3 linked regions of the Mus musculus genome follow. The protein of the gene in region 1 interacts with the protein of each later gene in a biochemical or structural test. Links are inferred from orthologs where the notes say so. Each region holds a gene or a part of one and is shown in the gene's direction. Other genes may lie near its edges.

What was found.
Region 2: the proteins of Magi1 (region 1) and Adrb1 interact in a test that uses a peptide from one of them, tested with the Homo sapiens proteins (2 studies listed by IntAct). The link is inferred for Mus musculus from reciprocal best matches to the Homo sapiens genes MAGI1 and ADRB1.
Region 3: the proteins of Magi1 (region 1) and Net1 form a complex in vitro, tested with the Homo sapiens proteins (3 studies listed by BioGRID and IntAct, with this or other methods). The link is inferred for Mus musculus from reciprocal best matches to the Homo sapiens genes MAGI1 and NET1.

Annotation. Positions count from the first base shown.
Region 1 is NC_000072.6:94,281,071-94,285,421, reverse strand, and holds the start of Magi1 (membrane-associated guanylate kinase, WW and PDZ domain-containing protein 1), read left to right. Parts: upstream 1-1,504; 5' UTR 1,505-2,099; coding exon 2,100-2,412; intron 2,413-4,351. UniProt on the Homo sapiens protein: Plays a role in coupling actin fibers to cell junctions in endothelial cells, via its interaction with AMOTL2 and CDH5. May regulate acid-induced ASIC3 currents by modulating its expression at the cell surface.
Region 2 is NC_000085.6:56,720,944-56,724,929, forward strand, and holds the start of Adrb1 (beta-1 adrenergic receptor), read left to right. Parts: upstream 1-1,173; 5' UTR 1,174-1,428; coding exon 1,429-2,829; 3' UTR 2,830-3,986. UniProt on the Homo sapiens protein: Beta-adrenergic receptors mediate the catecholamine-induced activation of adenylate cyclase through the action of G proteins. This receptor binds epinephrine and norepinephrine with approximately equal affinity.
Region 3 is NC_000079.6:3,915,408-3,919,579, reverse strand, and holds the start of Net1 (neuroepithelial cell-transforming gene 1 protein), read left to right. Parts: upstream 1-1,359; 5' UTR 1,360-1,514; coding exon 1,515-1,642; intron 1,643-4,172. UniProt on the Homo sapiens protein: Acts as a guanine nucleotide exchange factor (GEF) for RhoA GTPase. May be involved in activation of the SAPK/JNK pathway Stimulates genotoxic stress-induced RHOB activity in breast cancer cells leading to their cell death.

The DNA of each region.
Region 1 (4,351 bases):
TGTGTGTAGCCAGTCTTAGGGAGCCCAGGCCATCCTCTCCTAGACTTTGCCTTGAATTCTTGGTCCCCATGCCTCAGCCTCACAAGTACCAGGATTACAGATGTAAAACGCCAGGCCCTCATTCTTATTAACTTAGAATAGCTCTCTAGAAACAGGGCTTGAAGAGCTTAAATGTATGCTTATGTTCTAGAGAGGGGATTACAACCCCAACCACTAAGGACTCTGACACCCCCCCCCCCCCCAGTTATCAGACTGTGAAATTTTATATGCCACCATAAATTATTTACTTTGCAAGTTTCCAGTGCCTATGTATTATTTCTAACAACTCTGTGTGTGAGGTGGGGTGGGGTGGGGGTGGGGGTGGAGGAGGGGGTGGGGGTGGGGGTGGGAGTGATTGTATTCCTCCAGCCTTGGCAAGTGGAAGGTCTTCACTTAATGTTGTACTTAAGATGCCTGCGGAATCTGAACTTCAGACCTATCCTCTCGACCCACCTCAGTGACATCCTCATCTCTCTGAGTGGCTCCAACTCAGCTCCTTTTATCTAGTAGATTCTCAAGTCCGTGACCAAAGAGGAACTCATTGGAAACCACTGAAAAATAAACAAAACCGCTAGGGCCACCACTGCACTGGCTTCTTGGCGGTGGGGGCTGTTCTTTCTGTCCCGGCCTCACCAGTGCCCCGATTACTGGACCCCGCCTCTGGGCGGCGAATTCCGAGGTGGCCGGCTCGCCCACGCTTGTGCAGGACCCGCACCCTGCGGTGATCTTTACTCCCCAAAGCAGTGCTTAGGTTTCTCGGCTCTCCTAGAAGCCAAAGGGGGCTGGCCACCGCCGCCCCCTTTGCTGGAAGGACAATGAGAGGCCAGCGAGAAGTCTTAGGTAAAAAGGCCACGCTAGCTTTGGCTTTTCTCGCTCGCTGGCAGTTTTTTCCTTGTCCTAAAAAGTTGGCCCCAAAGTTTAACGATGGGAGCGTATGTGTAGGTGCGTTTGGTGGGCGCGGACAGGGATGCAGAGGGTGTGTGGGTCTTGTTGATTCGGGTCCTCAGGGTCACAGAGACAAGAGCCAGGCTCCGCATGTGGACTTGAACCCCTGGGCGGGGAGCAGGCGCGGAAATGTGGCGGAAGGCGCGTGAGCGATGGCGTGGCCAGGCACTAGCGGAGGACGAGGAGGGACCCGGGTAGGCAGCAAGAGTGTGAGCCCCGCGCTGAATTGGTCTCCCAGCCCCCACCTGTTTGAAACGATTTGCAAACACCAAAGCCAAATTCTCTGTGTTCCAAAAGTTCGAGAGCTGGAGTCGGGCAAGCACACGTGTTCCCCCAAAAGGCTCTGGCTGAGCCGACCACACTGCAAGAGGAGGAATTCTAGGGGTGCAGGGAGAGGAGCAAGTTGGCGTCAATGAAGGGTCGGCCCTAGGACCCCGCGGGAGGCGCGTTGGAATCTCTCCCTTCCAGGAGGAGGGGTGGGGCGGGCCTGCCCGCGGGCGGCCGCCGGGCGCATGCGCGCGCGTCTCCTCTCCAGCCGGCCGCTGCGCTCCGCCGCGCGGAGTAGAATGAACTGTAACAAAACAAGCCGAGCCTTTGTATCTGCTTAAAGGGGCCGCGGCCACTTCCCTCGCGTCCCCTCACCCCCGCCCCGCGCCGTCGCGTCTCCAGGGCTCCCGGCAACTAGCTTGGAAAGGGCTTCCCTCGCGCTGAGGAGCGGCCGGCCGGCGCGGAGCAGGCGCGGCGTGTGTGGAGAGAGCCGCGGAGCGGAGAGCGGGCCCGGGCGGCGCCGGAGTGGACTCTGGTCCCGGGAGCGCGGTCGGCGCCGGAACGCGGACCCGGAGGCACCGGAATGCAAACAAAGCTCGCGGGCGCCCGTGCAGGGCTCTTCACGGAGCCCGGAAAGTTTGTTTTATGATGGCTTGAGAGCGCGAGAGAGTCGGGCGAGGAGGCTCGAGTAGCTCGCTCCCGCGCTCCGAGAGATGCTTCTCCCGTGAGCCCGCCGCTCCGGGGGCTCGTGCTGTGGGGGCACCTGTCTCTCGTTTTAGCAGTTTTCTTTTCTTTTTCTTTTTTTCTTTAATTTGAATTTTGTTTTCGAGGAGGGGCTGTAACTCATCATGTCGAAAGTGATCCAGAAGAAGAACCACTGGACTGGCCGCGTTCACGAGTGCACCGTGAAGCGGGGACCCCAGGGCGAGCTGGGGGTGACGGTCCTGGGGGGCGCGGAGCATGGGGAGTTTCCGTACGTGGGGGCGGTGGCGGCGGCCGAGGCGGCGGGGCTTCCCGGCGGTGGCGAGGGGCCGAAGCTGGCCGAAGGTGAGCTGCTGCTGGAGGTGCAGGGGGTCCGGGTGTCCGGCTTGCCCCGCTATGACGTGCTGGGAGTCATCGACAGCTGCAAGGAGGCCGTCACCTTCAAAGCCGTCAGACAAGGTAAGACGGGGCGTGCCTTTGGGGGGCGCACCCCGAAAAAGAGGGGAGGCCTGAGGGGGCGCCGTTTGCTCCGAGTGCTGTGAGCCAAAGTTGAGGCCCGGACCAGATGCACTCAAAGTTGTGAGGTTGTGGGCTGTGCGCCCACCTGCGTGGCGGGCTGGGGCCGGGGTTGCGCCGGGAAGCGGGGAGATGCTTCCCAGGTCTGGTTTGCCAACTTCTAGGTCGTAGCCACCTAGTGCTGCGCAGCCTCGCCTTCACCTTAAGGCAGATGGGGAACTGAGGGAGGCTAAGGTGGACGCTTCCCCCAGCCCCTTACGGGATGGATGAGCTCACGGAGCTGGTGGCTTGCCACTGCCTGTTTCCCTGAACTGGAGAGTGGGTCGTGGAAGGAGAGGGTCTATTTATGGTTGATTGGAATTCTTCCATCACAGAATTTGCCTTCATCCTGCAACCCCTCCAGGTGGGGCTGGGTTATAACCCACTGGAGTCCTTAATCCAGCCTCCTGCAGAGCCCGCAATCACCCCACAGCGGGGTGACGTCTGTGTCTCCTCCTTGTGGAGACCTACGGTGGGGGAAGGGGTGATTAGCGCTTGGCGCGAATCTAGTCCAAGTTTACCCAGCCACCTCCTCCTCTTGCACCGTCGTCCTTATTGATGATGGTTGTTGAGAGTTACAATTCATTGTTAGCGTGTTATGTGAGAGGCTGTCTGTAAAGTGGTTTAATTGCATTATCTCATTCTGATTCACATCAATGCTATAAGAACGACTCGGTTTTTGTAAGTCCTATATTACAATAAGTAAGCCGGGTCTGACCTTAGGTAAATGACTTGCCCAAGGTCACACAACTACCAAAAGTGTATGGGTCTTTTTTTGTTAAACCTTGAGCAAGGAGGAGGAGGGCTTGAGGGGACGACTTTCGGGACCTGAGTTTTGGGGTGGGGGTGGGGAAGCAAATCCTCCCCTAGAAGTCTGTAGGATAAGGATGGCTTTCTGTAGGGTAAGGATGGCCGTGGGAGAGTACTCCCTCGCAGTTTGGTCTGAGCAATGGTCTGATCCTGTAGCTAGCCACCGGAGCATAGCTGCAGTCCTTAGAGGCATCCCTCCTGCACCCAAGTGCTGTGACGCAGGTTCTCCCAGATGAAAGCACCAGAGGAGGTGGCAGAGTTGAATGTGGTGAAAAGTTGCCATATGTTCCTGTCAGGATGGCAGCAGCTGAAGGAAACGTGTCAAAGGAAAGCGGGGAGAGCCAGCGCTCTCAGCAGCAGGCCGCTTCCAGATGACCGGAGGATGAGCGCAGTACTGTGTGCGGGGAGCCTAGTAGCCAGGCCTTTCTATCCTGTTGGGAGCGCAGAGGCTGACACCTAACAGTGGAATGTCCATATCCTGCTACTTGGCCTTGCTTGATGAATCTGTCCTTAGGAGTTTCTGGTAAAATCATAACCGAGGAAGTGTGCTGGTTCACAGTAAGTGCTCAGGAAAAGCGAGTTGTATTGGAGTTGGATTTAAGCAGTTAGCAATTCAGTTTTTAGCTAGGAATTTAATGCCAGTTCCCCGGGTGTTTATGACTTGGTAGAGCTGTTGAGATAACACTGTGACAGGCATTTATTTATTGGGGGAGGGGGGCAGCATTGGGTTTGAGTTCAGGCTCATTTTGCAGAAAGATTTCTCATCCGGCAGGATGGCAGGATGTCTGGGTGGTGGTAAATGGGTCCTAAGACTTGTTGACCATGGGCAAGAAGCTTCCAGAAGCTGAGCTCTTCCACTATTTTGCAGAGACCCTGGAGCTAGCTAGTACCCCTTCTCCCTCTCCACTCTCCCTTCCTCTCTCTCACCCCTCTGTGTGCACTTTAGTGGTGGTGGTGGGAGATGCCTGTGGATTTGACAGTTATTATAGTGCCTTCAGGTGTCCTATGATCAGGGCTGTCTTTTGCCAACAGA
Region 2 (3,986 bases), on another chromosome or scaffold:
TTTCAGATTTAATCGCCTTGAGTATGTATATATTTTCTTCCCTCATCTTCCCAAAGCTAATCCCACAGTTTTGAGAATCTAGCCACCCTCCCAAGAAATCTGAAATCCCAGTTCATGACGTCAACCCAAAAGGGATAGCACCTTGTGTTGGCTCAGCTCAGATTGCAAAATCCCATGGGTAACGGAGCACAGATGCGGATGTTAAGGTGTTGGTACTGGAGTCAAAAAGTCTGAAGCGTCATTCTCCGTGTTCTTTCCACGAGGGGCGTGGGGGTGGGGCGACGTCATTTACCCTGGACTGAATGTTGCCCTAAACTTCTCCTTTATATTCAGAACTCTTTCATCCTTTTCTTTAGCTGGGACTGGGGCCTGTGTGTGTATCCGACTGGTCCTCGGTGTTGGCAGTTACATCCACAAACCTTCCCTTCCTTTCCCCATCTACTGCACTTGAAGGAGAGAGCACAGCTCCGCGCGAGAACAGCGCCCAGAGAGCCTTTCTGACAGATGCGTACCCTGCTCCAGCAACCCGCCTGGCTGCAAAGTTTCCTCTAATCACTAACACCCACTTCCTATTCCCCCAAGCTGTCATGCTGGCCAGGTCCCCTCGCGATCAGGGAAGAGCCAGGCTGCCTGATGGCAGAACCCCAGTCTCACAGCTAAATTCCTCCAATCCCAGCAGATAGGCTGTCCAAGGCACTCCTGCGTCTCCGAGACGCCTGTAAGGTTCTCTTATAGCTACCAGGAACCGGGCACTAGAGGCGAGGGAACTACGGGGTGCCGAAGGGAAATAAGGGCGCTCTTGCGGGAGCGGCAAAAGGAGAGCTGGGTGCTAAGGTTAACGGAGACTACTGGTTGGCGGGGGGCACAGGAGGCGGCGGGGCGCCGCAGGGGGCGCCGCAGACTAGACTCTGGAAGAAGCCTGAGCAGGAAAGGGCGCGCTCGCTGCAGCCCGTGGGTGCTGGCTGCGTAGTCCGCCCGCAATCTTTGGAGCCTTTCAATCGCGGGTAGGAGGGGGTGCTGGGTGTTGGGGGTGGGGGCACCATTGTCGGGGGCGTGCCTTGGCGGCGATTGGCTGCGGGAGCCTGACGCGCGGCCCCGGGGGCTGGCTGGGGGGGTGGCAGCGAAGGGGGGGGGGGAGGTGCTGGGTGTTGGAGCCGCCGGCCCCGCGCGCTCAGAAACATGCTGAGGTCCCGGCGGCTCTTCCAGCAGCGACAGCGGCTCCAGCAGCAGCGGCGGCGGCGGCGGCGGAGACAGCGCTCGGCTACGGAGGAGAAGGCGCCCGGCGTCCATGCCTCCGGCCCCGAGCCGCGGCTGCCCTGACCTGGCCGCGACCTCCCCGCGCGGGCCCCGCAGCCCCGGCTCCTGGGGTGCTCCCCAGGCGCGGCCCAGCCCCGCCACACCCCCCGCCCCCGGCCTCCGCAGCTCGGCATGGGCGCGGGGGCGCTCGCCCTGGGCGCCTCCGAACCCTGCAACCTGTCGTCCGCCGCGCCGCTGCCCGACGGTGCGGCCACCGCGGCGCGGCTGCTGGTGCTCGCGTCGCCTCCCGCCTCGCTGCTGCCTCCAGCCAGCGAGGGCTCAGCGCCGCTGTCGCAGCAGTGGACCGCGGGTATGGGCCTACTGCTGGCGCTCATCGTTCTGCTCATCGTGGTGGGTAACGTGCTGGTGATCGTGGCCATCGCCAAGACCCCGCGGCTGCAGACGCTCACCAACCTCTTCATCATGTCCCTGGCCAGCGCTGATCTGGTCATGGGATTGCTGGTGGTGCCTTTCGGGGCCACCATCGTGGTGTGGGGCCGCTGGGAGTACGGCTCCTTCTTCTGCGAGCTCTGGACTTCGGTAGATGTGCTGTGTGTGACGGCCAGCATTGAGACCCTGTGTGTCATCGCCCTGGACCGCTACCTCGCCATCACGTCGCCCTTTCGCTACCAGAGTTTGCTGACGCGCGCGCGAGCGCGGGCCCTCGTGTGCACAGTGTGGGCCATCTCGGCGTTGGTGTCCTTCCTGCCCATCCTCATGCACTGGTGGCGGGCCGAGAGCGACGAAGCGCGCCGCTGCTACAACGACCCCAAGTGCTGCGATTTCGTCACCAACAGGGCCTACGCCATCGCCTCGTCCGTCGTCTCCTTCTACGTGCCCCTGTGCATCATGGCCTTCGTGTACCTGCGGGTGTTCCGCGAGGCCCAAAAACAGGTAAAGAAGATCGACAGCTGCGAGCGCCGCTTCCTCGGCGGCCCAGCCCGGCCGCCCTCGCCTGAGCCCTCGCCGTCACCTGGGCCACCGCGCCCCGCAGACTCGCTGGCCAACGGGCGCTCCAGCAAGCGGCGGCCGTCGCGCCTCGTGGCTCTGCGCGAGCAGAAGGCGCTCAAGACACTGGGCATCATCATGGGTGTGTTCACGCTCTGCTGGCTGCCCTTCTTCCTGGCCAACGTGGTGAAGGCTTTCCACCGCGACCTGGTGCCGGATCGCCTCTTCGTCTTCTTCAACTGGCTGGGCTACGCCAACTCGGCCTTCAACCCCATCATCTACTGCCGCAGCCCCGACTTCCGCAAGGCTTTCCAGCGCCTGCTCTGCTGCGCGCGCCGGGCCGCCTGCAGACGCCGCGCAGCCCACGGGGACCGGCCGCGCGCCTCCGGCTGCCTGGCGAGAGCTGGGCCGCCGCCGTCCCCCGGAGCTCCCTCGGACGACGACGACGACGACGCCGGGACCACCCCACCGGCGCGCCTGCTGGAGCCCTGGACCGGCTGCAACGGCGGGACAACCACTGTGGACAGCGATTCGAGCCTGGACGAGCCGGGGCGCCAGGGCTTCTCCTCGGAGTCCAAGGTGTAGAGAGCCAGGCTCTCTGGGCGCACGGACGCCGCTCCCCATAGTCCCGGGCTGGACACGGGCTCTGCATCCCTAGAGGAAGAGAGCCCGCCTGGGCGCCCCTGAGCCGCTCCCCAGGGGAGAGAGGAGATCTCTGTTTACTCAAGACCGAAAGCAGGTGAATGCAAAGCCCACAGATCTATCGAATCATCCGAGACGTACAGAAAAGCCCCGGACCGAGCGTTTGCGCAAAAAGGAAAGTTTAGGAGGAGTTGGGAGAGTGTGGCTTAGTATGGCTTACTGGCTTGTCTTGAGTTCCTTTCTCTCTGAGGTTCGGCCTTTCGTGTGTTTAATGCACCTTCAGGCATTCCCCCCCCCCCCCGCCCCTAGGTGGGTTTTGACACTTTCTGCAAGGACCCGAGTGGAAACTAGGCGGGGAGGGGAGGGGGCAGGATGGAGTCTATCACCTGGCTTTCCGGTTCCACACCTAGGAACCTAAGTATTCAGCTCAGGTTTGGTGTGGGGGCGGGGCCGGTGATAATTAGCCAGGAAGTGTTTCCCTTTGCTTTCTAAAGAAATTGCATACTAATTCCGGAGTACTGGTGTCTCCTGTTCTTAAAGCAAAGGGAAAAGAAGGATGCGAAACAGACAAATCTGGTTTCGAGAAACTATGTGTGGAGCACGGTTCACCTTGCTTTCTCCTAGAGGGCAAACCTTGTGCCCTGCGCGCCTCGGTGGTCCTGCTGTGGGTCCTCTACCTCACTCTGTGCATATTGCACAGCAAGATAGAAAGACTTGTTTATATTAAACAGCTTATTTATGTATCAATACTAGTTGGAAGGACCAGGCGCTGAGTCTCTCTCTGTGACATGTGACTCTGTCAACTAAAGATAGGACAGAACAAAAAGGAAACAGTTGAGATTATTGCACATGTGGCTAAAAACAAAGACGGCAAAAAAAAAAAAAAAAGGCAGTGGTTGGAAGGCCATTTTGCACAGTGTTAGGCATTGTAAAATTCATAGAAGTTGTTAACTTGCACAAAAAAAATTAAATATTTTTACTGGGATGGGGAGGTGGGCAGATCTTTAAAAAGCTAAAATAAAATTCAAACTCAGTTTCTCTTGTCTATTATGTTATTGAGTTGATGGTTTATTGGGAAGTTACTTTTTATACTCTTATCA
Region 3 (4,172 bases), on another chromosome or scaffold:
CTTGTTGGAGTAAGTGTGTCACTGTGGGTGTGAGCTTGAATACCCTTGTTCTATCTGCCTGGAAGCCAGTATTCTGCTAGCAGCCTTCAGATGAAGATATAGAACTCTCAGCTCTTCCTGTACCATGCCTGCCTGGATGCTGCCATGTTCCTGCCTTGATGATAATGGACTGAATCTGTATTCCAGCCCCAATTAAATATTGTCCTTATAAGGGCTGTCTCTTTCATGGTGTCTGTTCACAGCAGTAAAACCCTAAAACAGAATTTTTCTAAATTGACATAAAACTAGCCATCATTGTTCTATATTTCATATTTTATGCTTTCAGTTAAAATCACAATGTTTTGTTTTACTATATACCTCTTATTTTTAATTTTCTTTTATTTTCAAGATTATAATATAATCACACCATTTTCTCCCTTCTCTTTTCTCCTTCCCAACTCTCTCCTATACCCCTTCTTGCTATCTTTCACATTCATGGACTCTTTTTATTAATTATTGTTACATAGTCAATATGTAACAATATGTTATACATATATGTTCCTAAATACACAAATACAGCCAGCTCAGTCTGTATGATGTTATTTGTATGTTTTCAGGGCTAGCTGTTAGTATTGGCTAACCAATGGTATTCCCTGAAGAAGACCATTTCTTTATCGGCTGAATGCAGTCTTCACAGTTAATCAGTTATATTTAGACATCTCCCAGTCATTCATTTAGATTGCCTTTAATTTTTCTATTATACACAACATCATTAATATCTCCCTGTATACAAGAGAGACTACATTTAAGACCATTAGCGATATTTAAAATCAGAGAACGTTTTTATTTACCAATCTTCACATAATAACCTGAGCAGGGTCCCTTGTTTCATGCTGCACGTTTTGCAGTCTTGCAAGCAGAGAAAGCAGCCCTTTCCATTCGGTAAAGCGACTGTGTCCTACTTACTGAAAGACAGGAGTACATAACTAGATTTCACTGGTTCTCTAGAGACATCCTGGAGAACAAAGTATTGTCTTTGGCAATTGGGAATATATTCCACATGTATAACTTAGTGTTTATACGTCCAACTGCCTCTTGCTTTGGGGTCAATACCTTCATCCTGTCTAACGCTAAACAACAACAAATGATAAACAGCTTCCGATCCATTTTCCTGCCCTGCAAGTGAAAGTTCTAGTGAATAGAGACTGCCTTTCAGGAGTAAGGTGTGTAGTTAAAATAAATCCCCAAATTCCTAACTTTCACCTTACCACTTTCCCTTTGTCACTGGAGCTCCTAAAAGTTTGGTATGAAGTCTTCTGATTAGGGCGGGACTCCACGTAGCCTAGCAACCGCTTCCCACTCTCTGATTGGCCGATCTCTGGGCAGCCGCCATTTTCAAATCCCCGGATGACGGCGGTAGCCGCTCTCTGCTAGAAGGCGACTTGCTGCCTCGCAGAAGCTGGCGGGCATTGTGCCCGCCACGATCGGTCTCCTGGGCACTGGGCCACCGCCCCACCAACCCCCCTTCTCCGGACATGGAGCCAGAGCCGGCGGCTCAGAAGCAGCCCCGACCTCGGAGGAGAAGCCGCAGGGTCTCAATGCTCAGCGAGGAACCTGCCGCGGGGCTTCCGGCCGACACACCCGGGCCGGCGGCGAACGAGAGGTGAGGGTGGCGGGAGGTGGGTGAGAGCCGGGGACCGAGTCTGGAGACTCAGGACGGGATGGACTGGACGGTGGGTGACCAAGGACTGGCAGTGCAGTAGGGGAGGTTGGGGAAGGCCGGGCAGAAATGCCGCGGGAGGAGAGTGCGCTGCCCGGCGGGCTGCACCGAGGGCTGCACAGCGACTGCTCGGCCCTGCGTAGAAGGGGTGGACTCGTTGGACTTGTTGACAATCTCCTTTAACCCCGTCCCTGGGGAACCGTACATCTGCACCAGAGCTGTTCTCTACCAGAAACTAGTTGTGGATGCAGGCGCTCAGATCAAGACTGTCGTGGACCCTGTGATGAGAAGAGGAATTGTCACCTGAACAGATACCAACCCTTTCAGCCTAAAAGCGGCTGTTCAAATGAAATGTCCTTTGCAGACCAGAACAGGACAGGCTCCTGGAATGAAGAGATCAGAGAAAGACTCTTTCTGGCTTTTCAGTTATTAGCACATTTTCACATTCTGTGTTGTATCTTCATTTCTATGTGTCTGGGAAAGGCAAACACTAGGTTGATTTCAGAAATCTGTGTCTGGAAGAGAGGCTGTGGGAGTCATAATATTTTTATTAAATAGGAAATTGAAATGGCATTTGTCTGGACTACTCTGTCATTCTTTTGCCCTTCGAAATATGAGAAATGGTCTCAAAGTACTGAATGCAATGGTTTCCCATTATAACGTTAGACATTGAGTTACAAAGTATGTAACTTTGTTCAAATCTACGTCTACATAGTGAGTTTATGATAGTGTCTGCCTCATATAAGGCACTGTGTGAACATCAGTACTTATCATGGGCCTCGGCAGAAAACTCGGCAGAAATCTTGTCTGTCAGTTTTAAATCTGTTAAAGTAACAGTGCTGTGTCTGCTCCATCTTTTCAGACATCCCCATGGTCCACTTGACATGATTTCAGGGTTTTTTTGGTTTTGTTTCTGAGACAAGTTCTCACTGTGTAACTTGGTTACCCCAGAACTCACTACCTGTGTAGAGACGCTGGCCACAAACTCATATTGTACTTCTGTACCAGAGCTGTTCTCCATGGAAACTGGTGGACTGTAGGTGGTCTTACATCCATAGGACTATTGGTGAGAAGAGGAATTGTCACCAAGCAGGCTCCAAACCGTTCTGCCTAAAAACTGGTCTTTCTTCCTTAGCCTCCCCCTGTTCTCGGATTGCAGTGTGAACCTCGACGCCCAGGTCATTTGATAGGATGTTAAATTAATCTTTTATATAGCTTATAATCTAATCATGACAAATGGTTTTGAGGAAAAAGCAAACACCTTACTTTCATTATCAAGGCATGGGCAAACCCATTGTATTAAGTAACTCTATAAAGAGCTAGATTCTTTCAGTTAGTACTGATTTTTATGAGTTTGAAGTTTAAGGCAATATTTACCAGAATTCTTGCCTTCTGAAACTTCCTCTCTTCCAATCAGACCGTGTGTTTAAGAAGTCAGAGTGCAGAAAGAAGGCATCTTTGAGACTGAGAATTACAAGAATTAGGATGGGCTAGTGAAGGAGCAGAAAAGGAGGACTTCCTGAAGATGAACAGAAGCAGTGCTTCATTCCACGTGTGCTCAGTGTAATACAGTTGCACCTGCCCTAGCATCAGACACTGTTGAGGATGATGGGGATTCAGGTGAACAAAAGCAGATGGAGCGCTTGCTCTCAGGAACCTTAGATTCTCTTGGGAGGCGTTGGTCACATCATGCAGTGAATTTAAGCCTTTTTGATTCTGTGCAGAAGAGGAAAGATTCTAGGGCCCAGAGTTGGTAGATGACTCCAAGGAAACAGTATCCTCCAGACATAAGAGCACTGATGCACATCTAAACTTACAGAGATTGAAGGAATGCACAAGACCTGCAACAGGTTCAAACCAGACAAGATCCTAGCACTGAGAATGGGAGAGTTGACACACCATCCCACTCAGAACCAAGAAGCTGTTTGCAATTGATACCTCCTGGGAAAAGGAAAATTGTTGTTTTGTTTTGTTCCAGTGGAGTATTGGTATATCAACCACACTCCAGAGCAAGGCCCATGCCCAGGTGTCTTGGTCACTGATCCATTTTTGTGAAGAGACACCATAATCGAGGCAAAACTTAAAGAAAAGGTTTAACTGAGCCTGGCTTACAGTTTCAGAGGGTAGTCCATTATTATCATCATCATGGGACGCATGTAAGCAGACATGGTGCTAGAGAAGTAGCCAGAGCGCTTTATCCCCATCTGCAGGCAGAAGACAGTCTGACAGGGCCTGGCATGGGCTTTTGAAACCCCAAAATTCATCCCCAGTGACATACTCCTTCAACAAGGCCACACCTCTTAATCCTTCTAATCCTTTTCAAGAGTTTGCATTCAAATATATAAGCCTATAGGTGTTGTCTTATTTTCAAAACTTACTTTAATAAGGGTTCTTAAATGCTTCAACCTCCATTCTAACCTACCACCCACCAGAAGTAATGAAAAGGTTAATAGGGCAAAGGCAGATGTAGACC